2 linked regions of the Mytilus edulis genome follow. The protein of the gene in region 1 interacts with the protein of each later gene in a pairwise test. Links are inferred from orthologs where the notes say so. Each region holds a gene or a part of one and is shown on either strand. Other genes may lie near its edges. The genes, in order: kinesin heavy chain-like and kinesin light chain-like.

Region 1 (17,216 bases):
TGGCATTGATAATATGTCAATAGTCCAGAATATAAAGTTTTGCATCAACTATCACATAAACTTAAAAACAATTCAAGAAAATGAGGTCAAGGTCATATAAACCTAACAGAAATACATGTACAACTTACAATCATAATCATTCAATACACTAATTTTAGTTGACCTATTGCTTATCATGCTCATATTTTTTAAGAAACAGACAAAAAAAAAAATAAAGATCGACCAATCAACCATGAAAATGAGGTCAAGGTCAAATGAACTTGATCTGTGTTTTGCGGTAAGGCCATGGTTTTTTAATTTGTTGGTAAACGAATTTTTCTCATGAAATTAAAACCTCTGTTAAGTTACTATTAACATGTCCCTATCAGGTTGATTTAGAGTTATACTATACATATCTGTCTGCTATCCGAAACTCTATGTTGATTTCTAGATACAATTTATCATTTCTGGTTTTATTTTTAAAAAAATCCTCAGGAAGAAAATACTCTTCCCTTCAAACTCATCCCCTTTTCAGTGTTCTTACTATGATATTAAGCCCACAGTTAATAAAGCAATCAAGCCTGTTTTTATGTTAACCCTAATTAACATATATTAATAAACAATAGGCAGAAGGGTAAACATATGTTATTATTGGTATGTATATAATGTAAGAAAGGACTTATGACAAAACATCTGGCAGCTGTGTTATTCAAATCTGATCTGGAATGTATATTTTCTACACTGCACAAAATACACATTATTGTCTAATCAAATTGTAGCAGAACTTTCTCATTTATCAATATAAAACTCATTTAAATAGTTTTTACACATACATATTTCTCTCAAATAAATTTTCATTTATACAAAATGTATTTCTTACAATTTTTTAAGAGTCTTTACACAATTGCAAGATGACATAATAAAAGTATTATTGGGTATCCTGCATGTATAGTGTGTTAACATAAAACTACCTTTAATTGCTGATAGACACCCTCCTAAATTATTGAATTTTATCTATTTGCACTAACTTTAATATCTTAGTGTATATTAGATACACCCAATCATGCTAACACCCTCATGGATATATCTTATACATACTGACAGAAAAGATGAGAAGACAGCATAAAATTTTTTTTTTGATAAATTAAGAAAGTAGATAGAATTCAGAGTCAGAGAGAACCCAACCCTCTGCCCTCTTGTAATAACTGTCAAGATTCTTGTTATTCACTTATCAGTTACGTAAAAATAGTGAAATATGGTATTTTGGTTAATATCCAAATCGTCACACCCAATTATTGATTAATAAGTATGGACTTCCAGCCAGTATTTTTTATGGATGTTCAGCAGGTCTTTATAACAAATAGCAGTGACAAAAATAGATTTGAATAATAAATTAATATTATAAATAACTATCAATGAAAGTAAGTAATATATTCAATTGAAACACATTCTCTCTTGCCAAAAGTAACACCCTATCTGCTATTGTTTTGTATCTATTGATAGCTCATCAGTGAATGACGGAGGTACATAACAGGATATATTTATATTAGTAATTCTATCTCAAATCAAACCTCACCAAATTTTCTGTAGTTTTTAGGGGGATTTTTCTTCTTCAATGGAATAAAATAACATTTCAAAGTTCTGGGCTCTAGATAGTCTTCTTTAATTAAAATAAACCCTTAAGAAGTTACATCTAATTGAGAAGCAGAGATGAATGAAATCATTTAACAGCACTAATTGTTTTACGAGGGCAATATTTTATTGTAGACAATATAAAGCAGATTAAGATATTTCTTTTAGTATGCCTTGGAAGACGTTTGGTGTCATAAGTTGGCAAAATAAAAAAGCTATTTTATATAAAGAAGAATATTTTCCATACTTCACAACCGTCTTGCCAGGAATTCCTGGCAAAGTAAAAGATTATGTTATAGAAAAACAAAGAGATTTTACTATTTTCTTTCTTTATCTAAAAGAAAAAGGAGAACAAAAACATAATTTTGTTGCTACAGTGCAACCTACATAATCCAGCACCTAAGTATTCCAACATCCTGATTTAAAAGACACATTTTCATGGTCCGAACTATGCCTATGCTTAAAGAAATAAACTGAGTATTCAGACACCCTGCTTAATCCAACAATTTTTTCTGGCCACCCAGTGTGTCGGATAACACAGGTTAATACACTGTATTTAGATATATGTGAAAATCAAATATAAAGTGAAAATTTAAATATAGTTTTAATTCAAATTTTCAGATTGAAATTAAGAGTATTCTTAATCATTTCTTAGCTTTAGAGGCTATAGAGCTACATTAAAAATTGTGACAATGTTACATTATTGGTCTATGGACATCTTAGAAAACTCAGACATTACATATCCTTCAAATCCCTAAAAGGACATTGAAAGTTAAATGTACTAGGATTAACCTTGACTACATTCCTCACATCATTAAGTAACATCCTGCACATGACTCAGGTATTGATCTTAGAAAATCAATTAATCAGCTGATTCTAGGAAACATCTTTATATAACAAATATTATACATACTTTCACCAATTTTATTTTGAAATCAATACAATACCAGTTTTAATTAAGGAATGACTGTAATATTTTTTCTGTCTATGAAGAAATAACATAAAAATGTGGTGCACACTGAATAACACCACATTTTTTATGTTATTTCGAATAGACTGACAAAATATTAGTTATTTCTTATAATTTAATTTTCATTTCATTTTAAACCGGCGTAAATTATGAAAAAACGTTGATGACGTCATGGTCACATGACAAAATTGTGTCTATGATATGATAAACAAAACAATGTCAGCCAATCAGAAGACGTGTTACATCCAAAAATTAAATTATTGAGAGATAAACAAAACAATTAAATATCATATATCAACAAAACCATGTTCAAAATTAAAACAGTAGGCAAATGTCAGGTTCTTTTTCTAAATATTTGAATCAAATATGGTTTGAGGTTTAGGACTTATAATCATGAATATGACATTTTACTATTGTAATTCACAAATTACATAATAACATTTATATATAAGATAACAAAGGGCCTTTCAAACTCTCAGTGAAGACAGCTAACTAACACCAGTAGGAACCTTAAAAAACTTTACTTTTTTATCATGTACTTAGGAGTCATTTGTTGGGAAATATATTAACACCAATTCAAATGTCCTACATTACAACAACAATCAGTTCAGACAATTTTTTCAGGATACATATGTACAAACTGTTCTTTAGGGTACTATAGGATACAATATTTCATAACGACAATGATAAGCATCCAAATATACAGAAAACTCATCCTTTCAATCAATATTCTACCCAAATATTTTAACAGTGCAAATGGTAATGAATGTAATGAATCTTTAGTTAAGGGCAATTACTTGTATAAGGAGTCAATCTGGTTTTTTTTATTTAGTTATAGCAGCTTATTTTATGGCAACAAGGTAAAGATTGACAGTCTAGCATGTTTCCCCTGTTTGATTTTCTCTATTTATTATGGTTTAAAGAAATTATACAACTTACACATTTTACATTGTACCTGTATGTTTTAATTAAGATGCTTTGATATTATAAAACATGATAGTAAAATGATGTATATATAATTTTTTTTAAATATTTAAGGGCACGATTATCATGATTATGTTTACTTTCCCCTTTGGTCCACATGATTATTAAAATGACATAAATTGCCCTAAAACTTTAATACCAAAAATCCAATGAATTACTGTTTGGATCATAATACACATTGAACAGCTTAATATCAGACATCTATAAATCAATAATGTCTGCTGCAGCAAATTTATTGATTGTCAAGTTGGTGAATGCAAATTAGTACAAAGTAAACCTTATCTGTTTAAATTAAAGTGCAACATACAGTAATTTAAACATTAGTTAATTGATTTGACTTGATTAGTGATTACATGACACTTTTCACCCAACTGACATATAAAAGTGTATTTGGTGAACTCCATTTTAAAATAATATGCAGATTCATTCTACAACTACATGCATAATATATTTCTAATTTACAAGTATTGTTTTCATAAAAGTATGTTCCTCCCTAAATTAAATCCAAATCCCTAAATAAAGGTCTCAAAGCTATATGAATCATACTAATAATATATATATATATGAAGCATCAGATGATCCATAATATTCTTCTGACATCGGACTCAGACTTCTCTTGAACTGAATTTTAATGTGTGTATTGTTATACGTTTAATTTCTACATTGGCTAGAGGTATAGGGGAGGGTTGAGATCTTATAAACATGTTTAACCCTGCCGCAATTTTGCGCCTGTCCCAAGTCAGGAGCCTCTGGCCTTTGTCTTGTATGATGTCCATTATCACTGTACTAGTATACATATTTTTTAGGGGGCCAGCTGAAGAACGGCTACGGATACGGGAGTTTCTGGCTACATTGAAGACCCATTGGTGGCCTTTGGCTGTTGTCTGCTCTATGGTCGGGTTGTTATCGCTTTGATACATTCCCTATCTCCTTTCTCAATTTTATTCTGAATATAAACTTGCTTTTTTGTATACTGTTACATGCATGTTAATGTTACTTACATTTGTTTACTCAGAAAGGCAATTCAACAGGACATTCCAAGATTCATACCATTTAATGTGTTGTATCATTTACTTATGTACAGTAAAAGATACTCTCTCAGTTCAGTTGCCTATTAAAAGTATTTGCTCCTGTATCTTTAGGGAAAAGATAAATTATATAGAACAAACACATTACTTACCAGCGACAATCGTTTTAGCAGTTGTATTATATACATCTTCCTGGGAAACATTTGGTTGCAGTATTTTGTCAAAAATAAACAATTTTCCCTAAAAAAAAAATGTTAACTTAATCAATGAACAAGTATTTCAAATAATTAAAATTATATGCAACAGATAGTACAAATCAAATTCTGGTTTATTCTGTAATATATTATGTTAAATCTAGCTTTAATACATATACATACATGTATGATACAATACAAACAAAATGAGATCAGGATCCAGTAGGAACTGACGACTCCGTGGTAAAAACAGTTTAGAAAGGAAAACAACTACCACAAATGACTACATGAAGCAGCAAGCAACCAACAACTAAGGAATTACTGTAAAGCTACATTAACTTCCTAACTGTAGCAAATTCAAACTAGACAGTATGTGTCTCTTATTTCAAGATAAACAATAATTGTTGAATTGGTATTGTTATTATGCCAGTTCTGATTTTTTATCAACAATGACAAAATTTTTAAATGTATATTTATGATTTAGGTCATGAAAACAATTGTATAGAAATGATTAGATCCAGGAAACATTGATCAATGGCCAATCACTTTTAAACAATGTCTTTCTATTTGTATCCATCTGATGAGTTGAGCCTTTTTTAACTGACTTTCAAAGTTCGTTCTAAAAATTTTCAATTGACAATATCAGATGCATCAAATCATGAAAACAGAGTTTTTTGGGTTATATCAATCAGTTTTCTGGTTAAACCTGTGCTCGGAAGTTTTCACATAATCTAAGCTATTATTCTAGGTAATGGTGGTGGTGTGGTTGCTATGAAATAATATGCAAGGAAATCTTCATACAAATCATCGATCATTTAAAAAAAAATAGTTACAAAGGCATGAAGAACAGCAACTAATGTGCTGTCCTGTTACTTTTCATAAATTATATGCTGTTCGTGTACTAATTTTGTGTAATGGATGCATGGATGGATACCTTATATATTTTTCTATTATATATTACAAATTTATAGATTTTATTAGTATTGAAACTGGAGCTACAATGTATTTCAGGCAACAACTTTTACAAGCCCATAATTTTCAGTCCCTAATCACATCTGCTGACAACACTGTACTGTTTTATAAATAACAGGGCTTTCAATAGAATTAGAAGGCTGAAACTAAAAAATAACCAACATGCTGGTGGGGACGACAAAGGCTCTAGGTTATTTTAAAAGTAAAATCCTCCCTGCATTCTAGAAGTCTCCTGGCACAAAAATACAACTTTCAGATTGCCATGTTTTTGAATGAAGTTTTTATTTTTCATAAATTTTGTTTAAATTACATTATTAAAATTTTGAAGTATACCATATTAAATTACCAAGCTAGCAATGGGTAATGTCGCTATGTAAATGTTTAACCATCACACATGATGTGCAATTGTACACCAATTAAAAAGGACTTGTTGATTGCCCAATCAGGTTTTGTCTTACAAACAATTCTCGGAATGACAACAACTGGTAACTACTATTGTTGCACAACTCTTACGGAGAGACTGACACACATAAACAATAACACAACAATAATTTAAGGTTTAAAATAGAACTACGGTCAACATATCGATCTCATTTTTGTGTAATTTAAATAAAATACTTTAGGACAAAGAAGACTGCCAAATAGACAACTTTCGAGTTCTATGCATTTCTGTCAAAAAGTTTGGTTTAAGTGAACATCATTCGTGCGTATAGGGGAGTCTTCACTTCTGTTCAAATGTTGAGCAAGTGATTGGAAAACTATAAAGCTATATTACACAAACTATTCAGCAAATTGAATTCTCATAATAAGACTAAGACGCTTGATGAACGTTTATAGTGAAGGGATACAGGTGATCCCCTCTATCTGGTAAAAGACATCATAAAGGTGCGCATAATTGATGGACACCCTCGAAAGTGGTCTATTCCATGATCTTTCATGCTACATGTATAGACAAAATAGACGAAGGAAATCACAATACTGGCTTCTATTTAAAGCCCTAGTTTAAAGTTGAAGCTGTAGCATTTTCAAAAGAAAAAAAATTAAATATTCATTTTTGCATGTATAAATCACTTACATTTATATTTATAGAGTCATCTGTTGGAAACTTCAAGATAAACTTGCTGCCAACTTTTTCTTCAGAGGAATTTAATGGTCGGACCCTGCTAATAACTCTGATGCTGCATTCATCAGGAGTAGGCCCTGGTGGCCCTGGTGGAGCAGGTGACTGCTGTGTCGCCATTGTTTACGATACAAATTTAATTTGTAAACATCAATTTATAATGTAATGTATGTGAATCACACCATCATGAATATATCATGAGCTGAATAAACAGAAAATTAGCCAGTGAAAATGCAGTTGGAAAGAGTTACAAGAAAGATATCTTAAGCGAATTGGATATATCAATGAACTACTAAGCAGAAAATAGAGCAAAATGTATTAGGATGACACGGCGATCGCCTTGAACACACTATTTTTATAACGTCCGAACAAAATCTCCTCCTTCTTCCATCATTGCTGTTGAATGATGGGAAATGACGTTTGCGAGAAATCGAACTTCTCTAGACGTTTCTTTAATTCCATATAAAAGCTCGAAATTACCCGAATAAGATATTTCCCGCGGAATCTCTAATTTTAGCTTTGCAATGTTTGCGGACTAGATAAGATTAGATAGGAAAATTTATTTTAAATCGGGTTACACGAAATACTACAAACATAAGCTCTATAGAGCTTTTTCGTAGAGACAGCTTTATTGCATAAGTATAAGCAAAGTTCATATATATAAAAGCAAGCACGAATTAAACTAGATTATAAGCGTGACATGCAAAGAAGACAAATACATAAGCTTAACTAGTTCTAAAAGTAGAATGAACTTGAAACATAAAAAAAAATCAAATTGTCTATGTTTGTATATCTTGCCGACTCTAAATAAAGCTTATTCATTATTATTATTATGGTTCAGATTCGACTGCGCACATATCGCGTCAGGCAGCTCATTCCAGAGTGTACCGTACTTCCAACTTCCGAAGCAAGGTTGTCGGCTCGTTCTTGTATTTTTTTCAATATATTTTTTAGTGTTACCCTCCCCACAAAAATGCCAAACAACGGGACAATAGTTGAAATTTGACATAATATATGAATGATGATTAGTTAACCTTCCCAATTTAGATAGATGTTTCCCAATTCTTTTTAGTACATTTAACTGCCTTGATGCTTTTTTACAAATTTCAGAAATATGTGTTTTAAACTTGAGTTGATAATCTATTGTCACTCCCAGGAGCTTTACCTCAGTGTCACATGAAATTTCATTCTCATCAAAATTGAATTTAATATCCCCACTTTTAGATTTATAGCCAATGGCAATAGCTTGAAATTTATCCGGATTAGCTTTCATTTTGTTATTAGCAAACCAATCTATTAAAACTGCACTTTCCTTTCCCAAGATTTAACTAATCCGTTTATAGCTGGTCCTGAGTGTGACAATGTATTATTATCTGCATAGTTTTACAACTCATTTTCATTTACAAAATTGAAAATGTCGTTTATAAAAATTTTGAAAAGCACAGGACCCGATATTGACCCCTGCGGTACATCTTTATAAATGTTTTTCCAGGTGCTAAAATATGCAACCACTTTAACACATTGTTTTCTGTTCGACAGATAGTTGTCGTTAAGTTTAACGTCATCATTTGACTGGCCATATGCCTTCAACTTTAATAACAGTAACGGACTCTCAAAAAGTTTTTATAAATGAATAATAGAAAATACGGAAGTCAATATTTTCTAGAATAAGATATTTCCCGCTGAATCTCCAAGTTAATAATAGTTTGTTTGTTTGTTTAGACAAACAGAAACATATGTATATTGTATAATCATGGACTATTAGGGGTCTCAAGTTGGGGGGGTTCTGATCCCGGATCCCGTTTACTGTTTTGTCAGATTTCCGTATCCCGCTTACACTAAGTATGAAAGCAATAATATCTCATTTTTCCGCTAGACATCATTTCCCGTTTTCACGGCACAATCATTTGACTTTCACGTGTCACGCTTACAAAAAATCGGCAATACCGCGTCACGCTTAGACCCCAATGAGACCCACCTTTTATACTAATTTATAAATAATGAAAATACAGGGTTTTTTGTTTTTGTTAAGAATGTTCGTTCGGATCAAATTTCAACTATTTATTGATATATTTTGTATCTCAGGCTTCCAACATTTTCAGGACAGTGGCGGTGTAGCTAGCCGGTTTACCCCCCCCCCCCAACCCCACCCCCCCCCCCCCCCAAAAAAAGAAGGCCGGACATATATTGTACAAGTTTATGGTTGCACTGATGTATTCCTGATATGTTTGTGTACAAAATGATACATATGAGGGGGTCACATATAGAAAGAAACGAAGAACTTATTGATTATTAAATTAAACTTGTTAAAACACATTTTTGAGGGTATGATAACAGTTTCAGTGTTGTCGCATTTGACTTTTGTATATATATGAAAACTTAAATAGATGGTGACAAATTATTCGCAGCTAAATCATCAGCAAACCAGGATCTACAAAAAAAGGCTATTTCAAAGAAATAACGTGTGTGATAGTAAACTTGAAATATTCAAACGTCCTGAACATACCAAACTGACATATAACATAAGTCCTTGACCGAAATCGTTAATGTACTCTCTATAAGAGTTATTGTCGTGAAATACACACCTTTACCGTTGATTTTTTTTGTGCTTTTACCTTCACTCTAGTTTGAATATAGACCTATGTTAGATGAGAACGATATATATTTGATTTTTTTAGTATGATTATCTTGATCTATAAAGTTCTGTTTATTCTTTTACAATTTGGATATTAGTAAATTCCCTTTTTTCTCCTTAAAAGATTTGATGATAAAAAATATCATATCTACATTGTTTACCCTTTTGCCCGGATAGTTTATGATGTAAATAGCAGATATTGGAATAGTTTCAACATCCCTCATTCAGATCGAAACTATAAGTCAAACTCAGTTTTAAAAAAAGTCAAGCGCAGATATAAGTAAAGTGTTTTATTTTGGAAGGGACAACTGATGCCTTGTCAATCTAATTATAATTAAGATATTGATCTCTAATTTTGTTATACTATATATGACTGATATGTAGTTTAACGAAATCAGAGATCAATATTTTAATTAGATTGGATGCTTTGTAAAACCCTTAACTCTTATTCAAGCAATATCTCAATTAGTTTCTCTAATGCAAAAAGTTCTGTTTATCCTACATGAGCACATGCAGAAGTTTGACCTGGCCTGTTTTGGCTGAGATTTGTGTTGTTCAATATTACGGTCTTTTGTATTGTGTTTCGTTTTCTGTTATTTGTCTTTTCGTCGTATTTTCAGTCTTTTAATTTTGGTCATATTGTGCATCTGGGATATAAGACATATAATATTCTGTTGTTTTTTTTTGTACAAACCTATAGGATCTGATTTACATACATATAGGCCTACTTGAAGTAAACTATTCTCTTGTACACTTGGACACATAACTTTGTTGTAAAAAAATATGCATCTGTAATCCAAAGTGTTGACATTGTAGACAAAATCCGACAAGGTTGCATGTGTCAGAACACACTTTAAAGATTGAAAAGGGAAGATATCAGGGCAATCCTCGACACGAAATAGCTTGTCATAGATGCTTAGGTCTGAGGTTGAGATGGTTTTACTTCTTCTTTTTTTACCTCAATAAATAATTAGAGAAGCAAACAATTACAAATTTGTCCCAGGAAATGATATCCAACTTTGACATTTTAACTATTAAGGATCTATGATTTTTGTTGTTGATTTTTTTCTCCCTCAGAGCATTGGGACAAGTTGTACTAGAGGCTGCATATAAATCCAAGTAATGTTTGCGCTTATTTTTTTATTTCAACAATGTTTTTTGAGAGCCTGTATTTAGGCAACAGCTGCTTATCAGGACTAGATCATAAGTTTTTGAACATAAGTTTAAAGATGTATTGTAAAGTGCTTTAAACAATATCCGGCTTCGGTTTAGTTGCTTGAGTGTCCTTTAAGCAACTACAATATTTGTGCATATACACTAGCCTTGCGGAGGACTTCGCATTGCAACAGGTTAATATCACAGTTCCAGATCACCACTGATTCATATATATTTATATGAAAATTAGGGAATATAAAAAGCTGTTTTACTTTATATATTTATATATCTATATCAAATACAGGGACGAATTGTCAATAGGGTAGAATTGTCAATGCAGTAATAGGATATCGGTACACTTATATTAAATATTGGGTACGAATTGGTAAAGGTACGAGTTAACGTGTAACCAAGTCATATGATCTAATCACATGACTTCAACAAAACATTGAAAATGGCGACTTACATGTTTCGTCCAACTTTCACTTTCGTCTTTTTATTTATGATCATACATGCACTAAAGGTATTTGTTACACAAGTTAACTTATATTTTGGTTCAAAACATTTAAAATTTTAGATTAGTGTTCTCAAACATCTTTCAGAGGAGTGAAAACAAATTTTAATCAAATCAAATCAATACTCAATCTAACAAAATTCATGATCATTCATATATCAAATCAAATCAAATTTTTGGACCAAAGAGCCAGTGTGAGCTAATATGAGGCAGGCACTACCTGTAAATGGGGACGAAGTCTGTATGAATTATTTTTTTGTAACTTAAATATTTTGTTTAAAAAAAAAGAAACGGAAATACCGTAATGTTTCCGATTTTGGTTCTGTTGTAAGGGATTTAGTTGTGACGTCATTTAAATTATGACGTCATATGCAATGTAAACAAAGAAACGCTATCATCAGGTAACGTTTTTTCATATCAAGGAATTATTAAAAATGAAATTGGTATTGCACGTTCCTTCCTATTTTATACTAGACTGATAAATATATATTTTACTCAAAGTTTCATACAAACGAGACCGGAAAAAGGAAGTACATTGTACATTTCTGCGCAGGTCCAGGATTTCAAAACACGACAAAAAAAATTTGAACGATTTTGAGTTCATTAGTACAATGAAAAATTCGGGAAATTTTCCCGTATTTTTTTTTTATTGAATTTTCTACTGTTATTGGGGACTCCGTCCCCATATTAATTCAATAATTGTCATCAATTGTCATTGTCCTTGTCTGACAACAATTACAAATATCTTGCAAATAATTGATAGTTTTTATACAACTGCAAATTTTTTTGTGATCATATATTGGTATCACGTACATGACGTAGTCGTCCTCGTCCTCGTCGTCTGAAGACATTTGGTTTCCGGACAATAACTTTAGTATAAGTAAATAGAAATCTCTGAAATTTAAACACAAGGTTAATTATATCCACAAAAAGAAAGTTTGGATTGATTTTTGGGGTTATGCCTTATTGTCCCAACAATTTAGGAATTAAGAGGCCCAAATATGCTTTTTTCTAGTTCCAGACAATAAATTGTGTTGAAGTGTATGGATCTCTCTGAAATAATACCTCAAGTTTCCAGACTACAAACGGATGGTTAAGATTGGGTTTGGGGGGTTATGGTTCAAACTGTATATGAATTAGGGGCAAAAAAGGGGGAAAACAAGGGTTTCCTGGTTAATTGAGAATTAAGACAATTTTTGGATTACCTCCCTAACACTGCATTTAAATTATGTACAAAGAAATGTATTGTTTTGAGGTGATTAGCTGTCAATTTACTTTAAGAATTATGCTGATTAAGGAATATTAATATCAATGTTAATACTTTTATGATGTATTTAATGGGTAATTATGGTTGCAAACTCAAATGGAAATTTGAATTGAGATTATAACATTACTCGAGGGAAAGGAAAAGGGTGGGGGAGGTGAAAAAAATTGGGGGGGGGGGGGGGGGGGGGGAGAGAAGTTGTAGGGGCAATTTTTTTCAATTCAGATTTCAGAAATTTAAATGAAAATTTCTTCATATTTTTTTTTGTGCAAATATGCAACATCATAGTGTATTGCATAAAATTAAAAAAAAAAGTTTTTTTTAATTTTTATTTGAGAGGGGAGGAAAATTCACAACAGCATAGTGTATTGCACAAAAGCAAAAAATTGAGTATAAATTCAAATCATATTCATTAAATCAATTCAAGTTCTTCGACTTTATTCTGTGTCAGAAACCTATTATGTGTCAAATTTTTAATTACAATCCAAATTCAGACCTGTATCAAGCGTTAAATATTGTGTCCATTTTTGCCCCAACTGTTCAGGGTTGGACCCCTGCAGTCGTATCCAGCTGCACTCGGCAAAGCAATTTATTAACTGTAATGAATAGAATGAAATAACATCCACACTGTTATGAATTAGATTCTAATTAATTTTCCATTATATTCAGGCAAACAGAACGTTTACAATTGATTATGATAATGACATGTTCCGTATGGATGGCAAACCTTTCCGTTATATATCTGGCAGTATACATTATAGCAGGATACCTTCATATTACTGGAAAGACAGATTACAGAAAATGAAAGCTGCTGGCTTAAATGCTGTTCAAGTGTAGGTAGTCCATTAGACTTACATGACTTCAGGATGAATTTTTCTAAAATAAATATTAATACCAAAATGATCTATTTAATCTATACACAAGTATAAACTATGCTGACAGTCATCATCTATTATTACATTTTGTACTTACTGTATTACAAATTGAATCATCAGTTCAGCTCTGCTTTACATTGAAGATTAGGACAGGATGTCAGAATTAATGATTCCTTTTCATATTCAAACTATCTTGCAAACATCTTGGTACAATTAATTTAAGCAGTATCTATATTATAAACCAAAAAAATGTACAAATCCCCCCTCCTAAAGAATGAGTTGGTTTTCTGTAGATGATAATAGAATTTAAGCAAATTAAATGATACACATTTCTAGAAAAGAAATTTAAATGGGTTTTTTTAATTTCTAGATATGTACCTTGGAATTTCCATGAGATGGAGGAGAATGAATTGAATTTTGAAGGTGACAAAGATTTAGTTGGATTCATTAAGCAGGCACAGGAAGTTGACTTGTTTGTTGTACTTAGAGCAGGGCCATATATCTGTGGAGAATGGGACTTTGTAAGTTATTGTACTTTGAGCTGGATCTTTTTTTCTGATCAGAAAATCATTTTAAGATAAAGATATCAATCAATATATTTTAAAGAGGTCACATGGGTTTGGTTTCCTTGATTGAGGTACAGAGAGACCTTTGTTGGGAAGGAAGTTTAATTTGTTGGAATTCAATAATAGCCACCGGTAATTCATTAAAATTGTCAGGAATTTGGAGTTTTTATACCTTTGTGAGGCGGAAACTTACACATTATTTTCACAGAAATTCAGGATTTTACATTTATTTTCACAGGAGTTTTGGATGAGACTCCTACCGCCACTCTTTATTATGGTCTAATGATCAGTGTTTAGTTTTTCATCACTTGATAAGTTTCTCAGTAATTGCAAGTTCATGTATAGTCACCTGGCCTAGATCTCATTTTCATTGTTTTATATATTGACTTTATCTTCTTTATAAGGTAATTTTTCCTAAAAGCCACAAGTAAGTGATACTCTGGATATAAATTAAGTTTACATGTATAGATAATTCAGATAAAGATTTTTTAATGTCAGAGTAAATTAATGTTAAAAGTTGCAAAGGACTCACACAATTTTGGTATTTTGCAATTAAATAATAGTGAGAACCTGTAGATTTTCTTCCATGACTGGCAGTGAAAAATAGATTTGGAGAACTTTGGGAGACATTATAACAATGGGTAGAAATTTATATACCAATTGGTCATAGATAATTATTTTCTGTTAAGATGTCTGTATAAACTGTGTATTGGTCTTTTATCTAATAATTTGAATGGTCTCATGTGGTTGACATCTAAATTAGATATTACATATTTGTGAAATTCTATTGTTTTTATGTCCTACTATAAGAGAACAATGTATTATACTATAACTATTCTGTAATATATTTCAGGGTGGATTTCCTCCATACATATTAGCCAAGAATCCTAATACAATATTCCGCACCATGGATTCAAGTAAGTTATCCCAACAAAAGTCAACATTTTGTGTTTATAGGTACTGGAGTTGATTTCTCTTTTTTTCTGTTATCATTTTTATTTCTAGTATTAAAGATTTTTAAAACTTGAATAAATTTCTTGAATCTCTGTAGAATAACCAAAAAATTTGCAGTGTGTATGGCAGAAGTTTTTCCATTTCTCATTAATTTTATCATATGTATTTTAAAGACTTTTAAAACTATGTGAAAAATTCATGATTCTCACCAAAATAATAATTTGGTGCCAAAGGGAAAATAAAAACATGGAAAAAAGACAACACTGACAAAAAGAAGTAAGAAACAACAGTTAAGATATATTTGTTTTTCCATTTTTTCTGCAGATTTTTCATTTCATGAAAGATTGAAAAATTCATCAGACTTCTTAGTATTTTTTAATGTTATCACAATACAAAGATTTCCAACTCCCAAGTTTTAAAATGCTGTAACTTTCTTAATAATGCTTGAAAACTTATAATAGTGGTAGTTATCAATAGCTAACAGATTACTCTTTTAAATTAATGCAATGTTAGTATTATACAACAGTTATGTAACCAATTATAATGTTAAATGTGTCTAAAATATTTTTCACCAAATTTCCACTTTCAATTGAAATTAGCTTCTGCATAGGTATTCCTAGAGGGTTGATTTTATTACATGTTGTTCCTATGGCCATTATCTACAAAAAGGTGTCTCAGATTTTAGATAGAATGTATAGAACAAATTTTACACCTAATTGAACATTATCTTCTTTTATGTGGTAAGGATGTTTACACTAAATAGAGATTTATGAGAGAATGAAATACCATAGGGACAATTTGAGACACCCTTTTGAAGCCCATGATGTGTTGATTAAGATTTCGTTAAAATTTTCTGTATAGTTAAAGAGATGACAGAGCTAAATTCATTCAAGTGAACTGACCAAGATGTTGCCCCTTATTACATAATAATTGATTACATAATAACTGCATAATAACAATATTGCATTCATTTAAAAGATTAATCTTTTATCTATCTATATGTACCTCTTTTATTATTTTATATGCATTCATAAGAAAGTTACACCATTTTAAAGGTTAGTGATTGGAAGTAAAAAAATCTTTGTATTGTGCTACCTTATATAGAAGCATCTACCAAATAATGTCTTTTTTTAAAATTTATTCATTGTATATAATGATAACTTTTTCAATTTACTAGCCTATATAAAGTATGTAGACAAATGGTTAGATGTGTTGTATCCAATGTTAAAACCTTTGCTGTACATAAATGGTGGGCCAGTGTTAATGGTTCAGGTATGTAAAGTATATAGACAAATGGTTAGATGTGTTGTATTCAATGTTAAAACCTTTGCTGTTCATAAATGGTGGGCCAGTGTTAATGGTTCAGGTATGTAAAGTATGTAGACAAATGGTTAGATGTGTTGTATCCAATGTTAAAACCTTTGCTGTACATAAATGGTGGGCCAGTGTTAATGGTTCAGGTATGTAAAGTATATAAACAAATGGTTAGATGTGTTGTATCCAATGTTACAATCTTTGCTGTACATAAATGGTGGGCCAGTGTTAATGGTTCAGGTATGTAAAGTATATAAACAAATGGTTAGATGTGTTGTATCCAATGTTATAATCTTTGCTGTACATAAATGGTGGGCCAGTGTTAATGGTTCAGGTATGTAAAGTATATAAACAAATGGTTAGATGTGTTGTATCCAATGTTATAATCTTTGCTGTACATAAATGGTGGGCCAGTGTTAATGGTTCAGGTATGTAAAGTATATAGACAAATGGTTAGATGTGTTGTATCCAATGTTATAATCTTTGCTGTACATAAATGGTGGGCCAGTGTTAATGGTTCAGGTATGTAAAGTATGTAGACAAATGGTTAGATGTGTTGTATTCAATGTTAAAACCTTTGCTGTACATATTTGTTTTAGTATTTCTAATATTGGTCTTTCTATGATTTATGCAGATCTTATTGATATGATGGTAAAGAGAAATCTTATAATAAAGCGGACATAAAAGATGTAGCCACTTTCAAATTAATTCAAAGATCATAAAATAAATACTCCAGAAATGTTGCAAGGTTTTTGTCGAGCCTGCAACTTTTGTTATAGGCTCGACATAGGGATAGTGTTCCAGCGGCGGCTACAGCGGCTACGGCGGTTCATTGATCAATGTTTAGTTTTTTTGGTTAATGATGAGTTTATTTAACAGTTGTAATAAAGCTTTATATATAGGACTATCAACATGATATCAATGATTAGTAAAGAAGGCTAGACATTTCAGCATGTGCACTCTTGTTATTATAGCTAAAATAACGATGGAATAGGTTTCACACAATTAAAAAAAAAGTCTGTTTTTAAATTTTGATGCATTATTTGTATGCACCGTTCTC
Region 2 (17,523 bases), on another chromosome or scaffold:
ACACTAGCAGCATCCATATTAAGAAGATATTCTAGGAAATTTTGGAATGTTGTATTGATTTTAGAAATCAGGGGATTCATGCGTTGTTAGAATCAACAAGTCCCAGTCAAAAGACAAATATAACACTAAGGTTAACTTTAATACATGAAATAATGTATTACTTGTCAATTTAAAAGACAACTAATCATTAAATTATCTCCATAAATGGTTAAAATTTATCAATAAGCTTGAAATTAAGTACCAGACTCCCCACTTTATAAATAGACTCTACCAATATGGAGCCAAACAAGAATATACAGAAGAGTATTGATTTTCTACAAGAATCATATTGATTCCAAACATCAATGATGTCATCCATTGAATAATTTATTCTATAAATCTTTTGTATGTATATCTTATGTATTCAAGGTCAGAGGGTCAATCATTATAACCATTGTGTCTACTTCCTTTATAGGCATAAAACCGTATAACACCCCATCATCAAAACATCCCATAATGACTTCGACCAAAGGGCATTTGTCAACATACATGTAATTTATTAACATGAATTGTTGTCATGGACAAACACAACATTCATCCTACGAGGAACTGTTGCTATGGACAAGACAGAAATAAACATTGAAATATACATAAAAAAGATTTTTCCAAAATATGTTGTAAGATTTGACATGGATTTTGTAACTAATTATAACAGATTCAAATTAATGGGAAATAACTCAATTTACATTAGCAATGATAAGAAATCAAAAAGAGTCAAGTTGAAAAGTATCTCTGATATTACCAAATAAAAACAAAGGGCAAGCTATTTGTAATGCTTTCAAAAGAATAGCTTGGGGGCCCACTGACTGCCTAAGAGGGAGCGCGATCCAATCATGCTTCAGTGATTCCCTATATAAGCAACCAAATTTTTCGCAGAAAAGGAGGGAGTGGGCCCCCTTAAAAACTATATAAATCCGCCTCTGCGGATGCCCCACTCGCACTATAATTTTCTATGTTCAGTAGATCCTGTTTTATTCTACACTCGTTCTATTTGAGCAGTCAAAATGTGTTGACTGTATATTTCTATGTCATATACAGTCACTGACCTGATATCACTTTTTCTCATGAATATTTAAATAGAAATTGCCGAAATTATAATTAATTATTCATAGGACCTATTCAACCTGTTCTTGTTTCCAATGTATACAACGAATCAAACTTGTTACCTTTGCATTTTTTAGAAGAAAAAAAACATATTTCACTTGCATTGACTTCATGTTAATATTTTTGGTTTGCAAGCTATATATCATTATGTTTTATGCTTATTGTTGATATTTTAGTTCATTCTCAAATAAACTTGTTCATCATAAATTGCAGGTTTCAACAGGTAGATGTACATTTCATTGTGCTGTACATTTCTCCGCCTGCATGATATGAGGCCTTTTATAAAAGGGGGAAGTTTCCCAATAGTTAAATCAAATAATAACATATACACACTTAACAACAATTGAAAATGTACTCTTTTAGATTGCAGTATAAAGACAATAATAGTGCATTGACTTGACATATCAACGATATAAGAATTCGGCCCGAAATAGGGGAAAAGCTCTGCATAGCCTCGCATTTCCCTGTTTTATATCGTTGATTTTTTTTAAGCCAATGCACTATTATTGTCTATATAAGGGTAAAAAATCTAATTTACCCTGAAGTGGGCACTATTATTTCTATGTTCAGTGGACCATGAAATTGCGGTCAAAATTCTAATTTGGCATTTAAATCAAAAAGATCATATCATAGGGAACATGCACACTAAGTTTCAATTTGATCGGACTACAACTTCATTAAAAACTACTTCAGCCAAAACTTTAACCTGAAGCGGGCCAGAAGGATGGATGGATGGATGGACGGACGAACAAACAAACAGAACCACAGACCAGAAAATATAATGCCCCTCTCCTATAGAAGGTGGGGCATAAGGCATGAATTTGCATAAAGGATACCACAGAACCCTATGTCTTGCCTGAGCGCTGTCATGGTAAAAGTGTAACATTGATCATTGACAGCCAAAAAACTAAACCAACTTAACAATAAAACAAAGAAAATGTATTAGTGTTGCTCAGTATCATTATGCTATCTCATGATTTTTTGAAAAGTATTTCCATAGTTTAACCACAGTGGCAAGCTTAAGTAAGTCAATTTATAAGTATTGTTAAAGTTTCCAAAATTTTTATAAAGTTTAAAAAGGTTAATGATTTTTAAAAAAGATGTAAATGTGAATCACAAGGACTCATCAATTTCACCATTTACAAAGCGGTTCTCTTAATGACAAAGGTATTTCTGACCAATCCGCCTTTTCATAATATAAAGGACTATGGGTAATCTCATTGTTATTACACCAAAATGAAAATAATGTTACGTCATTGGATGGATTTCCATTGTTTAGAGCATTCTTAACCAATCACACAACGTTTTGTTTACGCTTTTTTTTAAATTACCCATAATGCATTAGATTCTAAAACGGCGAATTTTGTCTCTAAAATTTGTAAAAGAAAGAAAAGAATCAGTTTTAACATTGGAGAAGGTAGTCATAAACATGTTATCAATTTACTGCTAAAATTATCAGTACCAAGAGAATCAATGAATACTCCTCGCAACATACATGTATCCATGTAATATTTTGTATAGCAAATATCATTAACCTTCCTGTAAAGTTATTGAGGAATAGACGTGCAACCTGGAAAACTTGAGCATCAAATTTAGGTACATGACATACACATAAAACATATTTGTCACACATGCAGAATGTAGTCCTCATAAAAACAATCGATTATCGACATGTATAAATATTGTTGACTTACAAAAAATGTACATGTACAAAATGTACTTTGCTTGATAGTTAGTAGAATACTCAACCTCAAAACTTAACCAAACACTGATCAATGGTAATATTGTCCAATCAAAGTCCAGTTACTCCAGTATATAGTAAACAGACTGAAACAGACTACCTACCTGTTGTTTACAAACATCCAAACAATCATAGCAAGCAAGTTGATCAAATGTTTGCTTTGCATGCTTTTATAGACATGCTGTAACAAACTAAAAAGGTATGGGTAATAAACCTAGCCCTCTCATTAATCCCCGGAAAGATGAGCCATTCTCATAATGATTGTTCCAAACGAATGTAAGGATTTATTCAAAACCTGTTGCTGCAACCACTTTATTATATCAGATTTTGTGATAGTTGATTAAAACAATCATATGATTATCAATTTGTTCATTATTCTTTAGTATTTTTCTTCATGCTGTAAGTCTTCACACTGAACATTCTGAAATCTACAGGCTCGAAACTTATTTTTTAAAATTTTATAATTAACTTATGTTGGCATGTAGAGATGATTTTTACAGGCCCTAGAGAAATTTTAAAAGCCTGGGCTGCTGGGCCTGTGGTTCAGCATGAAGACTGCTGTCGTAGTGCTGATGTTAAATAAAATACATAAAGTTATTTACCCCCTGTCTTCTGTAACAGCTTCTGGTGAACCTTTTGACGACTCCATGCTACATGCAATTAAAATCTGAAAATTAACAAAATCACTTAAAACCATGCATTGATACATTGTACATGTACATTCAAACAGAACAAACCATTTAACAACATAATCATTCTATAATAACATAAAATGTATCTATAAACAGTGCTAACATGCTTTAAGATATGAATTTTATCTAAATATTTCACAAATTTATAAAAAATATTATCTTTCTTACTTTTCTTCAGTCCTACACTTAAATATTTCAATTCAAATCAAAAAATTAAAACATTGACCCTTAAGTTCACAATAATTTGTAATAAATATGGATGTTTTTATTTAACTCTCTAACATGTCCAACATCTAAGAAAAGATAATAAACAAGAGTGCACACACTGAAATGTCTCGCCTTCTTTACTAATCATTGATATTATGTTGATAGTCCTAAGTATAAAGCTTTATTACAACTGTCACATAAACTTAACATTAACCAAGATAGCTTAACAAAGACCAATGAACCATGAAAATGAGGTCAAGGTCAGATGAACCATGCCAGGCAGACATGTACAGCTAACAAAGCTTCCATACAACAAATATAGTTGACCTACTACTTATAATTTAAGAAAAATAGACCAAAACACAAAAACTTAACACTGTGCAATGAACCGTGCAATTGAGGTCATGGTCAAATAAAACCTGCGGGACTGACATATAAATCATAATATATTCCCATGCACCAAATATAGTTGACCTTTGGCATATAATATTAGATAAAAAGACCAAAACTTAAAAACTTAACTTTCAGCACTGAACCATGAAAATGTGGTCAAGGTCAGATGACATCTGCCCGCTAGACATGTACACTTACAATCATTCCATACAACAAATATAGTAGACCTATTGCATAAAGTATGAGAAAAACAGACCAAAACACAAAAACTTAACTATAACCACTGAACCATGAAAATGAGGTCAAGGTCAGATGACACCTGCCAGTTGGACATGTACACCTTCCAGTCCTTCCATACACCAAATATACTAGCCCTATTGCTTATAGTATCTGAGATATGGACTTGACCACCAAAACTTAACCTTGTCTACTGATCCATGAAATAAGGTCGAGGTCAAGTGAAAACTGTCTGACGGGCATGAGGACCTTGCAAGGTACGCACATACCAAATATAGTTATCCTATTACTTATAATAAGAGAGAATTCAACATTACAAAAATTCTGAACTTTTTTTTCAAGTGGTCACTGAACCATGAAAATGAGGTCAAGGACATTGGACATGTGACTGACGGAAACTTCGTAACATAAGGCATCTATATACAAAGTATGAAGCATCCAGGTCTTTCACCTTCTTAAATATAAACCTTTTAAGAAGTAAGCTAACGCCGCCGCCGGATCACTATCCTATGTCGAGCTTTCTGCAACAAAAGTTGCAGGGTCGACAAAAATCACGACAATCCTTGAAAATTTTTGTATCCAAACCAACCAAGAAATAAGATTTGAAAGAAATCAAAAACAAGATCCTTTTAGCATGTTTAGAAAACAGATATCTACCCATTCACAAATATGTCAAACTTGATGGCTCAAACATCACTTCTAAAATTTAGATTCTAAAATCAGATTAACCTGCATGCAGAGGTCTGACTAAGGCGCCGAGTCCATGAGACTGTCCTATACTCATACTCAAGAAAAACCGTCTTGACTCGTCATTTTCATTAATACTACGAGTCTAAAGAGGCATAAATTCAGATTTTATAATATTGTATAAACCGTGACTACATGCATGTACATATAGCATCATATTATATCAAATGTTTCAGAGAAATTTCAATTAAATGACATTTTCTTGATCTACTATGTTTTGAAGTCTAAAATAATAAATTATTTAGTTATACAACAATAAAGTTTCTTCTTATCTGAGTATCACTGTTGGACTCACCATGGCCAAAAATCAATCATGTTTTAGTTGGTACTGTGTCGTGTTTCCCTTATAAATACTGATTATATACTGATCATAAATCATCAATGATCATAATTAATTGATGCTTTCCATTGGCATGGACAGAGATATTTAGGTTGGATTATGACAAATAAAACAAGTGAAACTGCGAAACCCGCAAGTGGATAATATTAATAGTGTTCGGTAAACAGGAAGTTGTTGAGTGATGAATCTGAAAACGCATCACACGGTATAGCTGACTTAGTTAAACCCTGAAACCAAATTTCAGAAATCCATGTATTGTAGTTCCTGAGAAAAATGTGACGAAAGTTTCATGGGACGGACTGACTGACGGACGGACAGACGGACTGACGGACGGACGGACAGACAGAGGTAAAACAGTATACCCCCCCTTTTTTAAAGCGGGGGTATAATGAACAGAATTCTGTATCCTTTCACTACTACATGTTGTAATATCAGAATCTAAACATATTTATGATATACATGTATATGCTGAACAAAATAACATGCAAATAGCATTCAAATATTGTAAATTCAGAAATGTTTGTGTGCAATTATTATTCCGATTGTCGAACAAGTGTCATAAATTAGAATTTTAGGAAATGCTGCATATTGTCAAAATTTAATGAAATACAAGCTTTTCTTATTTGCAAAACCTACATGTACAATGTAACCTGTTGCAAATTTTTGCAGTATTTTAAACATTTTGAATGTACCTGTTTATATCATTTGTGTATATAATTGCCCAAATTGCAATGCAGCGATCATGATTTATAAAAAAATCAGATAAATGCCAAAAAATGTACATGTACTATGCATTATCAGGCCCATTCTACATGTTATAAAATTAAGAGAAAAAAAATAATTATGTCAACATCCACATGATACATTTATCAGTGAGCATGCTTGTTGGACAGTACATGTATAGGCACTATGCATCAAACTTTAATGATTGAATTCAACTGAATAGGCAGAGGCAAAAGTAATGTTACCTGCAGCTTTTAAAAGGGCACTCTTAGAAAGATCTGTGTGGAAACTACACTTTTAAGTTTTAAATTAGGGCACCTATTACATAAATGTAAAGGCAATAGGTAGGGATTAGTCAAATTAAACAATCGTTTCATATATATTCAGGGTTAGGAAATAAAGGTAAGAAATGAATTAGCATGTGTTGCAATTATTAGTGTACCAGCAATGTACAAATGATGTATACTTGAACATTTGACAATAATTTTAAAATGTGTTTTTCTCAAGTATGCTTCTTCTAAGCAATTAATTATAAGATTAATTTAAATTTCGTATATTGTTTGTGTCTTATTACTATTTTTATTAAATTGAACTGTTAGATGAAGTTAATAGAATAAATGTGCGAAGTCATGTATTTTTATCATTATTTCATGATGCACAAATATTATGATTAGTATATATACATTAAAATACAAAATGTTGCATGTATGATGATATTTGATAAAAGAATTTGCCATAAACATCTTCATCTCCAAGTTATGATTAAACAAGAATGTGTCCATAGTACACGGATGCCCCACTCGCACTATAATTTTCCATGTTCAGTGGACCGTGAAATTTGGGTCAAAACTTTAATTTGGAATTAAAATTAGAAAGATCATATCATAGGGAACATGTGTACTAAGTTTCAAGTAGTTGTGACTTTAACTTCATCAAAAACTACCTTGACCAAAAACTTCAACCTGAACTTCGCACTTTCATTATCTATGATCAGTTAACCATGAAATTGGGGTCAAAACTATAATTTGGCATTAAAATTAGAAAGATCATATCATGGGGAACATGTGTACTAAGTTTCAAGTGGATTGGACTTCAACTTCATCAAAAACTACCTTGACCAAAAACTTTAACCTGAAGTCGGACGAACGAACGAATGGACGGACGAACGAACAAACGGACGAACGAACGAACAGAGGCACAGACCAGAAAACATAATGCCCCTCTACTATCGTAGGTGGGGCATAAAAAAAAGCAATTGATTACTAACTCATAATGTAATCCTGATCATACTAACATACTAGATTTCATTCATCCAAATATTGACAAAAATAAAGATGTATGACTTCCTGATGGAACACATGAATTAAATCAAAGAAAACCCACATCATTACCAGGCCACTGTTAACAATAAGGTCTGAAAGATTAACATGCCCGCCCAGTGGAATATAAAAGTACAAAAAGTACCATTAGTAGGCATTACAAGGTGTCGATAAGCATGATAAGTCTAGATTTCAAGTTCAACTGTCTTTTACATGTGTTAAATATCTTTCACTCATGCCAAATTGTGATGATGCAGATTTTACTTGGTATCTAGATTCCTTGACCCAATTCTGAATCCGAGTCTGTTCGCACACTATCACGTTCGCCCCCTTTCAGTTTTGAACCCTACACGTTCACGCCCCATTTTTATTGGTTTTGTGTTTGATAACTTTGTATAAATCAAGCTTTGGCAAGTGTATTACTGTAAGTGTTACTGTATTTGTTATCATTGTCCTAAATTAGATTGAGACAATGTGGTTTTTTTTGTGTGTTTAATAAATCTTAATCTTGTTTTGGTTAAGTGTATTGCTCACTTTTATTTCATTGTTTCAAAATAAAGTGAGACTATGACAACATATTTTTTTTTTTGTGTTGAATAAATTTTAATCAAGTTTTGGTTCTAGTGCATTGCTATGATTTTTTGTTTCATTGTTTCAGATCAAAAGGGCCAAGCTGTTAAAATCTTTTGTGTTTTTCATTTAAAATCTTCAATGTTTTTACTCATACCCAGCTAAACATGCTAAATACATGCAGTTTTTACATCAAATCAACTAAAAAAACAATCTTGATTTTCTAACTATTCAACAGGAATTTTATTTAAAATTGGGTGCGAACGGACCTGGGAGTGAACCTGCGAGATGCGAACATGTAGGGTGCGAAACTGTATTGGGCGCGAACGGACCTGATACCCCTGATTCCCGAACACTCAGGTATTTTTGACACCTGCAACTTATCAAAAAGAATAAGGACCTTAGAGCTACAGTTCCACAGATACTGTTCTGCATGGCCTGAAAGGGTGGGGTGGTTTGCACAAGTCTACATTGCCCTAAAAATAAAACAGGTTTTCATAGTAGAGGCTAGAGCCGATTGTACTTGGAGGCATAACATGTCAACTTAGCATGCTTAAGTTAACGTCTAAGCTAAGTGGATATAGAAATAAATACTTATTGAGAATATTGTCCTGAAATATGTTAATTACCTTAAAATTTTCAGATATGTATTACTATTAAAAATTACAAAATCTATACATCTTGTTGAGCTGGACTTTCCTGTCAGACTTGACAGTTGGTGGGTATTCTAAGTTGCAAATCAACGTCGGCACCAATGTTTTCGGCCATGTGCAGTGGTGTTTTAGCAAAGCTTAAATTTATAATGTCTGTCTGTGTATTTAAATTTTAGTAGAGCTATAACAGCAAAATATAGTGTTTATGTGTACAACTTCACTCCCCACACAAGTAACATGGCCGTTTTCATGAATAACTGGTTTTGATAAAAGACAGATTTTATTCTGAAATTTATAAAAAAAATCACTCAGGACTAGAATCTCTGGTTATATTTATAATCATCGTAAAATGTTCAGTTCCAAGAATACAAAATAAGTAAAAGATCTTAATTGAGGTTATTGGAAGAAAAAAAATACAGTAAGATTTAATAATGCCGTTGAACATTTATTGTAAAATCATCAATCGAAAAGGTATCCGGTCGTTCCGGCCCCAAACCGATCCGGCCCCAAGTCAATCCGGCCAACGTCGATCCGGCCCCATAATAAAATATGAATAAACTATATTGATTTTGGGGGAATTTGTGACAATTTTTAACAGTATAAATAGAATTTGCAAAAAGTGTCCGATGGTGGATGACATCAGGAAGTTAGTGAAGTATTGGAGTACCAGTTAAAGAACTATAGATATATTTTAATATATAATTGGTTTGTTTATTCAACAATTATCTGATGATTGTGAACTAAGGTAATGCCACTCGTAATCACTTAAATCAATCAAATCCTGATTAATTAAAGTTACGTAATCAACAAGTTTTTTATACATGTTATAGTTTGATCTTCTGGTTGGTTGCATTTAAATAATAATTAATTGTATTTTTTTTTCAGGTAACATCATAGACTATCTTTGTTTATAGGTGGTGCGCCTTATTAACCTATACTAGTTTAAACTTAATTTAATAAATCTAAATATAAATAAAATTAATAAAATTAATTATTGTTTTTAACTTCTATAAGGGATTGAGAATTTTCGTTTTCGAGACTTTGGTTTTTGACTTATACTTTTGCATCTAATTTGTAATAAAAGAAAAATACAGTATGGTTGTTATGCTTTCCTTTTTTGTTTTTGTTTTTTCTTCATCTGTGGTTGTAAGTGTTATGTGTTAATAATAACGTATTGTGTCACTTGTTTATATTTGTTTTAAATATGATAGTCAGTTGCTCTGTCGTATTTCTTGAATACTATAGGTAGAATATGTTTGATCAGTTGCCCCAGCCAGTGGTCCCGTAAGAATCGTGTATACTATCCCACGGAAGAAAAAATATTTTTTATTGGGGTCGGATCGACTTTACAAATATATGGGCCGGATCGACGTGGGACGGATCGACTTGGGCCGGATCGACGTGGGGCCGGATCGACCCGATAGCTCGAACAAAAACGGCTCCTCTAATTTTTGCAGAGACCAATGATTTGTATGGTAAATACACATCCTTGTAACATTTTTACAGTTATAATTGTAAAAAGTAATACATTATAATTACCAGAATTTTATGTCTTCGAGGGTCGTCTATGACTTTTGTCATTGTCCAAAACCGACTTAGCCATTGTTTAACTTGATGTATTCACATTTACTACGGTATGCCAATAATTAAGAAATTTATTTTATTTTGTTATCCATAAAGTCAGAAAATAATATTTAAAAACCGTACGGATCATTCGAACAAAAAACTTTAGGTCTAAATTATATTTTCTGATTAAATTTTATAGCACATAGCACTCACAAGAACACTTCGTAGAGATCTAAAACATCACGAACCCGACCGGAACTGTCCCCGGATGGTACACATTAGTGCATGATGCAAGTGTTAACAGCTCTTTCAATTTGTTGGCATCATGTATAGTTAGTTGGTCGTGCTGTTGCTGCGAGGTATACAAAAATTGTACAATTTAAAAGATGAATTTTAAATGAAAGTCATCTATGTATCATCAGATACATATAATACAATAATATCTTTGGTATCATGCACTGCATATCAAGTCAGCGCTTTCGTCACCATACATAAAATGCTGTTACACAAATTCTGTCCTTGTGTGAATTTTTGCTTTAATTGCAGAAAAATATAAAATCCCGTGTTTGGTTTTAGAGCTCATGAACTTATATATTATAGATTAATTCAACCATGTACACGTATTGATCCTTTGTACTTTAATATAAAAAAAAAAAAAAAAGAAGAAAAGAAAATATGGTATAATTGCCAATGAGACAACTCTCCAAAAGAGACCAAAATGACACAGAATTTATCAACTATAGGTCACCGTACGGCCTTCAACAAGTGGCTATCAATACAAGACACAATACTGTGGAAATATATTTGATTATTGTCTATATCTGTAATAACATTTTACAGCCCATTTCATTGAGTGTATAGCTAAAAGTAATATCTTTAGGTCACAGTAAACTACCATCCTTTAAGAGTAGACTAGTCCGATAGAGACAGATAACCAATCTATCGTGTATGTAGGACTAGGTTACTTCAAAAAGAGGGTTGTATACCTTACCTAATAATGACTTCACGGTTCAGCTGGCAAGCAAGCTAACCAAATATATTCCCTGTAGCTACACATTCAATGAAATTGGCTGTAAACTTCTGAAATGTATTGTTGTACCGTTATAGACACTCAAAGTTATGGTCCAACATGATTTCGACACTTATCCATTTTATACATTGCGCAAGATCGTATGCTTTTCTCAGTGAAAATGTTTCTTTTCTTTTTGCATTGCTTGTTTGTGGTCTCATTTTAACATACCTAAACGCCCTGTTAATTATTTTTATGACCAAATGTATCCAGCGAATTCGGTGTAATATTTATATCAAAAATAATCTGAAAACGCCATGGCTAAGAAAGAAAAAGACAAACAGACAAATATTTTTTTTATAGATTTTTATAATTTTTTTTATAGATTAGACCGTTATTTTTCTCGTTTAAATGGTTTTACATTATTAATATTTCAGCCCTTTATAGTTTGCTGTTCGGTGTGAGCCATAGCTCCGTGTTGAAGGCCGTACCTCGACCTATAATGATTTATTTTTATAAATTGTTACTTAGAGAGTTGTCTCATTGGCACTCAACCATATCTTCCTATATCTAAATAATAGTACTATAATAGTACTGGTGGTGATCTCAGATGCTTTGGAAGTTTTAGCACTGATGCAGATCATGCACACATCTGGCACCAGTTGTGTTGCTCATGTTATAACAAACCCGGTTAATAGTCTAATTCTGTGGGATACCTTCGTGAAAAGGGAAAGGGAGTGTATAGTTACTATATATATATATATATATATATATATATATATATATACGTAAGGATTATATCCGATCATCTGTGTAACGGCCAACCAACTCGTGATGGCGTCCGTAAAATTAACCATTTAGAACTCTTGGTTTTATATAGCTTCCTTGTGAGCAGCAACCCTCTGACAGCCAAGGAAATTATGATAGGAAGTACAAATAACAAAGAATTTTAACTTTAAATATTTATTGTTGTTCTAGCATATAGACAAGTATATTGAAGGTTATTTTTGTTAATTTATAATAATTTTAAAAGCATACTATTGGTATTGTTAGTCATCTCAGGAAATCAGATTGTGCTAGAATTTCGTGTCATGCATTTGAGTTTGTCATACGGCTAACTGTTTGGCCTGATGAAGTAAGAAATGTGGCCCAGCTTGGTCATTGGTTATTTCCTTTGATTAAAGGAATCCATCCTATCATACAATTCAAGTTTGCTACTATGCTATTTACAGTTTATTTTACAAACAGGATTATTGGACAGTATTTACAACAACAACTATATATATAGCTGAACCACTTACACATTCAAAAATTATACAGTCAAGCAGAAACTCCATATGATACCTAATTATAATTATACTTCTGACTGGTTAATTAAGATGGATATACAAAGAGCATTCGGTGGAATTAAACAATCATACAAAGGCATCATGCTTACAAGGGGTATTACATGCCAAAAATACCGGTGTCTAGAATATAATAAAGTATTTTTGGAAAAATACCACTTGTAAGCATGTTAAATTTGTACAGAAGCTCAATCGCCAGACATGTCATTATGCATGCAACAAATTAAAACCAAGCCAAACCCTTGAATTGTTCAGAAGAAACAGACACACACACACGATAATCGGTTGGTCTCGTGGTTGTATGTTCACCTCTAGTGCGGGAGATCATTGGTTCTAGAGGGCCCTCATGGGGTTTTTGATTATGTGATTACTTGGCCGTTTTTTTTAATGATTATTTGATTATTAAGCCAAATATTTCATGATTATTTGATTACCTAGGACTGTATTTTTAGTTTATGATTATTTGATTACTAAAGATAAGCAAATATTTAATGATTATGTGATTATATTGGCAAAAAAATGGTGATTATGTGATTACTAGGACCCCCCCCCCCCCCCCCCGCATGAGGGGCCTCGTTCTAGGCCGGGTCAAACCAAAGACTTTGAAATGGGTGTTGTTGCTTCTCAAGTAAGCTTGCAGCATTACGAGCCAGTCGGTGAATTAACATATGTTCGTCATTTAGTGACAACAATTGGCAATCATATCACATCTCATCTCGCATCTCTTCTGCCTCCGAGTTTAGTTGGAATTTGAAATCAAGCTAGGCACTGGGACACAACAGTTAAATATAAATTTTAGGCGGCCTGAGTGCATGCATGCCGCTATTTTCCGGCACCGGCAAAATATAAAAATATATGCAATACCAGTTTACCGGCTCTGATTAAAATATCGCAATTGATTGGAAGCCGGCAAAGTTAAAACAAAACTATTTTTATAGACAATAGCTATTTAGCCAGCGTCGACAATAAACGCATTACGGTGAATTTGATAGTTTGTCGGTTCTTTTATAAGAGTGAATTTTGGTATTTACTTTTGAAAAGTATAAAGAAATGGTGATTGTTAACATAAAAGGATCAAATTAATACTCATATATTTAAATTAGATAACAGTTACAATATTTGAGAGACATTTTCACGGCAATAAGCATTTAAAACATTTCTGATCAGTTATGAGTAAAACTAGTGAAAACAAAATTTGAAAAAATAAAAATAAAAAACTGAGCCATTCATTTGTAGGAATAAAATCAAATCAGTACATAGTTCAAAATCAGTCACACAATAATGCTACATGTATGCATTAAGAATAAAATCTCATTTATTTAACGGCTGTATCAGCGACATATATAATTGTATTATATATCACGGTCTCTGTCACAGATCATATGTTTTCGAATGTCATATGAATTCGTGACTATGCATGCCGTTTTTCAATGGGAATTGAGACGTCACAATGCATTCTAAATGACAACGAAAACGAATGAGACGAGGATATGTTGTAAAAAACAAAAGTTGAAAATCTCCGATATCATATCATTTTGATTAAACATGATACAATCTAACAAAATCAATCACATACCTTCAAAATCAACAAAGTTAGAATCAAAGTTGCTTTTGAAATAATAACCGTGTTGCATGAAAAATAGCCACTGCAGCATAATTATACTCAAACTTGTAATTCATTTTAAGGGGTTTTACAAGGATTTGTAACTATACAAATAATTGTTTTTTAGTAGCGACAATTAATAACGTAGAATCCCACTAGCGGTTCCTGAATCGATATAAAAAATAATTTACTTCTATATTGTTGTATCATATAAGTTTTGCATTAAGGGCATACGATACAGTTACAGGGGAGGTAATGACGTTGCTAACGTAAATTGTTATTTTCGCGACGTCAAACGGTGACTTATCGGAAAAAGATGCAGTTTTCGGCTATTTTTTAGCATTCAAACTGATTTAACTTGAAAACGAGTTCATGGACCCCTATTTTTAAAAATGACATTTGGTTTGATTACGGAAGAAGATTATGTGTACCAATTTTCACGAAAACGTAAATAGTGCAATTTTTTAAAATTAGATAAATATACATCCAAAAATTACGGTTTTTTCCTACATTCATGATCATTTGATAAGTTTGTAAAAATAAAATGTACAAATTTATGCAATATTTATATAACACACAAATTACAAATAATTTAACAAAAAACAGATCGTGTTTATCTTTTAAAACATAAAAGTTATGTATTTCTATCGAAAGGAAAAATATGTCCACACATCCGTATTTTAAGGAAATATCTGAAATTTGAATTCCAATTTACTCAAAAAGTAGCACATGAAGGTATATTTTTTTTAACATATTTGATTTGATCAGGTTTAAAATAGCCTATATGAAAATTTTCATCAACTTGTAAATACAGGATCAAAACTGTATCGTATGCCCTTAAAGCATCCTGATATGTGACGTACATCCCTCCCCCTCTTAAATGATACAAAAAAAATCTTTCGTTTAATCATACCACATTCTTTCGACTTAATGGCTGGTACCCACAACTGTAAAACTGTGTTCTCAGCTCTATAGATAATCCAATAAATACCAGTCGAACACATTACATCAACGTCATCCGGGTAATTTCATTATCAGCGCAACCAGAACTCACTGAAGGTCGGTTGTGGTCTACGAACAAATTTTCGTCTAAAACTTTGGAATATGTTATTCTTTGATACTCATAATTCGTCAACACAAACTTTACATTGTTTTCTTTTGTTTTTCAGATTCTGGTATTCCACGGGAAGCAGATTAACGGAATTTTTGCTGACATATTTGGGAGTTGCTAGTTCCCAGGCAAAACGCCAGATTTTCATTACCTCAGCAATCATTAGTCGTATGAAGTTTTTGCGCCTAGACAGTAAGTTTATTTTAAATAATTATGAAGTTTATTATGTGTTTAATTATTTTATTGAAACAGAAAGTTGGTGAGATGTCACAATATTGCGCCATACTGTACAGTTGTGTAACACGTGGGCAGATTATGGAATGGGATTGGCTGACACGTAGCAGACAGCAAGACCTTGTGAAAACATTATCTTACCTTGTGGAATAATACAGAGTTTCTAATATTTATTTCCAACTCACCACACCTGTTATTAAATATTTGAAACATTTTGTTTAATAATCTTTCAACACTGTCAAGAGTAATCAAGATGTTTGGAATTTTAATATGATAATTGAGTTGTTATTTCTGTACTTGAAATATTTTTTTAACCTTTTGGTAAAAATAAAACAGTTAGTGTGAAACATGGGAAATGTCGACAATTTATTCCACATTCCATAAAATTATTGTTTCATACTACATGTATATGGCAATTTTGATTGGCAACTTAACAACCTTGACTGAATGTGTCCATATGGCAAACATGGAATAAAGTAAAAGGTACATTTGTATATTGTCATGGAGTTGGCTTGCTAAACATCAGGTCTCCTACAAACAAATCACTAGAGACAAGTTTTAAAACTGGTCTTTGAATTTTTATTTTCATAATTTGTTCCACTTGATTGTTATGGCGTATCTTTGGATGATAATCTTGATAATTTTTTAATGTGCATGAAGTTGTGGGAATTACGTATCCCCTACAGGATGGTCAATGTACTGAAGACTTTCAAATTGATATTTGCTGCTCTTACGTCAAGTATAGTTGAATGTCTGAACAAGGATTCATGTTTCCGAATGAGATAAGGCCAGTGTAAAATTTTATCCCTTTGACATCGCAGAGTTATAAGTCAATTGCCCTTTTAGGCCAAGAGAAAAGCACTTTGAAATATTCTTACAACCTTGACTTGTCTTTTTGTTAAGACTGGCTCCTTTACTGGGAGATGCTTTATTGCACAATATTTACAATTTGAGCTCTGCATTATAAAATACTATTCGAACCTGTATCTAACCACTCTTATTTCAGCTTTTGTGAAACACATTTTCTTATTATTTTTTCAGGGCCATTGCCGTGGCACTCGAGAAGAATTGAACCACAAGAACACAATCGGACTATTAGTCACTTATTGAGTTTTATGAATTTCCAAAGATTTTGTTGTCATTTATATTATACGGGGAGTGGTAAAAACAGTATAAAAGATTTAATATCATTATGGCTAGTATCAACATCAACAGCGACATTAATGACCCGTTCTACCGTTATAAGATGCCTAGGATCATAGCCAAGGTAAAGAAACTGGATTGTATATTTTTCTAGGCTCTTTCGTGACCAAAACTTATCAATTAGGATTGTTCCACCATATTTGCAACCCCAAAAAATTCTTGTGATAAACAAGAGCCCAATCAGGGATTGAATTTAAGACTGGCAATTGTAACCCACAGCTTAAATTTTGTAGCCCACATATATAGTCCTGTACATGAAAAGCAGATATTCAAGTAGCCAACACCAAATTTTAGGGGCCATTGGCAAGTGCGCCTGCTAATTTCAAACCCTGACATTTGCAATTGAGAAAATAAATGTTTTAACTTATTTGTTTATTGTGATAATTCTTAGGCCTAAAAAAAAAGATATGTTTCCGGTAACATCATTTTGAAAAATAGGGTCGGTAGGTCGGAATTCTTTTTTTTTTTTGACATCGTAAATGAAATCTGGAAAATTATCATGGTTTTTCCAAGTCCGGATCCGTAATTAGTTTCAAAAACCGGAAGTGTGCCATTTGCAATGTTTTTGAAGCACCTGCTGTGCAAATTTCTTGGATTTTAACCTATTTGGAATACCTTTTGACATTAATAAAATGTTTTACTGGCTTTCTATGCAAGTAGAAGCAAGAGAGAAAAAATATTATGTC

Evidence for each region.
Region 2: the proteins of kinesin heavy chain-like (region 1) and kinesin light chain-like interact in binary tests that used the Drosophila melanogaster proteins (3 or more experiments, as listed by UniProt). The link is inferred for Mytilus edulis from reciprocal best matches to the Drosophila melanogaster genes Khc and Klc.

What each region holds. Positions count from the first base shown.
Region 1 is NC_092345.1:94,130,994-94,148,209, forward strand, and holds the start of kinesin heavy chain-like, read right to left. Parts: upstream 7,362-17,216; 5' UTR 7,000-7,361; coding exon 6,835-6,999; intron 4,834-6,834; coding exon 4,746-4,833; intron 1-4,745. Other genes in the region: beta-galactosidase-like, read left to right, coding at 11,124-11,192, 13,117-13,280, 13,693-13,843, 14,742-14,805, 16,020-16,114. UniProt on the Drosophila melanogaster protein: Kinesin is a microtubule-associated force-producing protein that may play a role in organelle transport. Milt and Miro form an essential protein complex that links Khc to mitochondria for light chain-independent, anterograde transport of mitochondria.
Region 2 is NC_092346.1:18,413,530-18,431,052, reverse strand, and holds the start of kinesin light chain-like, read right to left. Parts: upstream 9,037-17,523; 5' UTR 8,742-9,036; intron 3,552-8,741; 5' UTR 3,534-3,551; coding exon 3,487-3,533; intron 33-3,486; exon of another isoform or gene 1-32. Other genes in the region: eukaryotic translation initiation factor 5-like, read left to right, coding at 16,827-16,901. UniProt on the Drosophila melanogaster protein: Kinesin is a microtubule-associated force-producing protein that may play a role in organelle transport. The light chain may function in coupling of cargo to the heavy chain or in the modulation of its ATPase activity.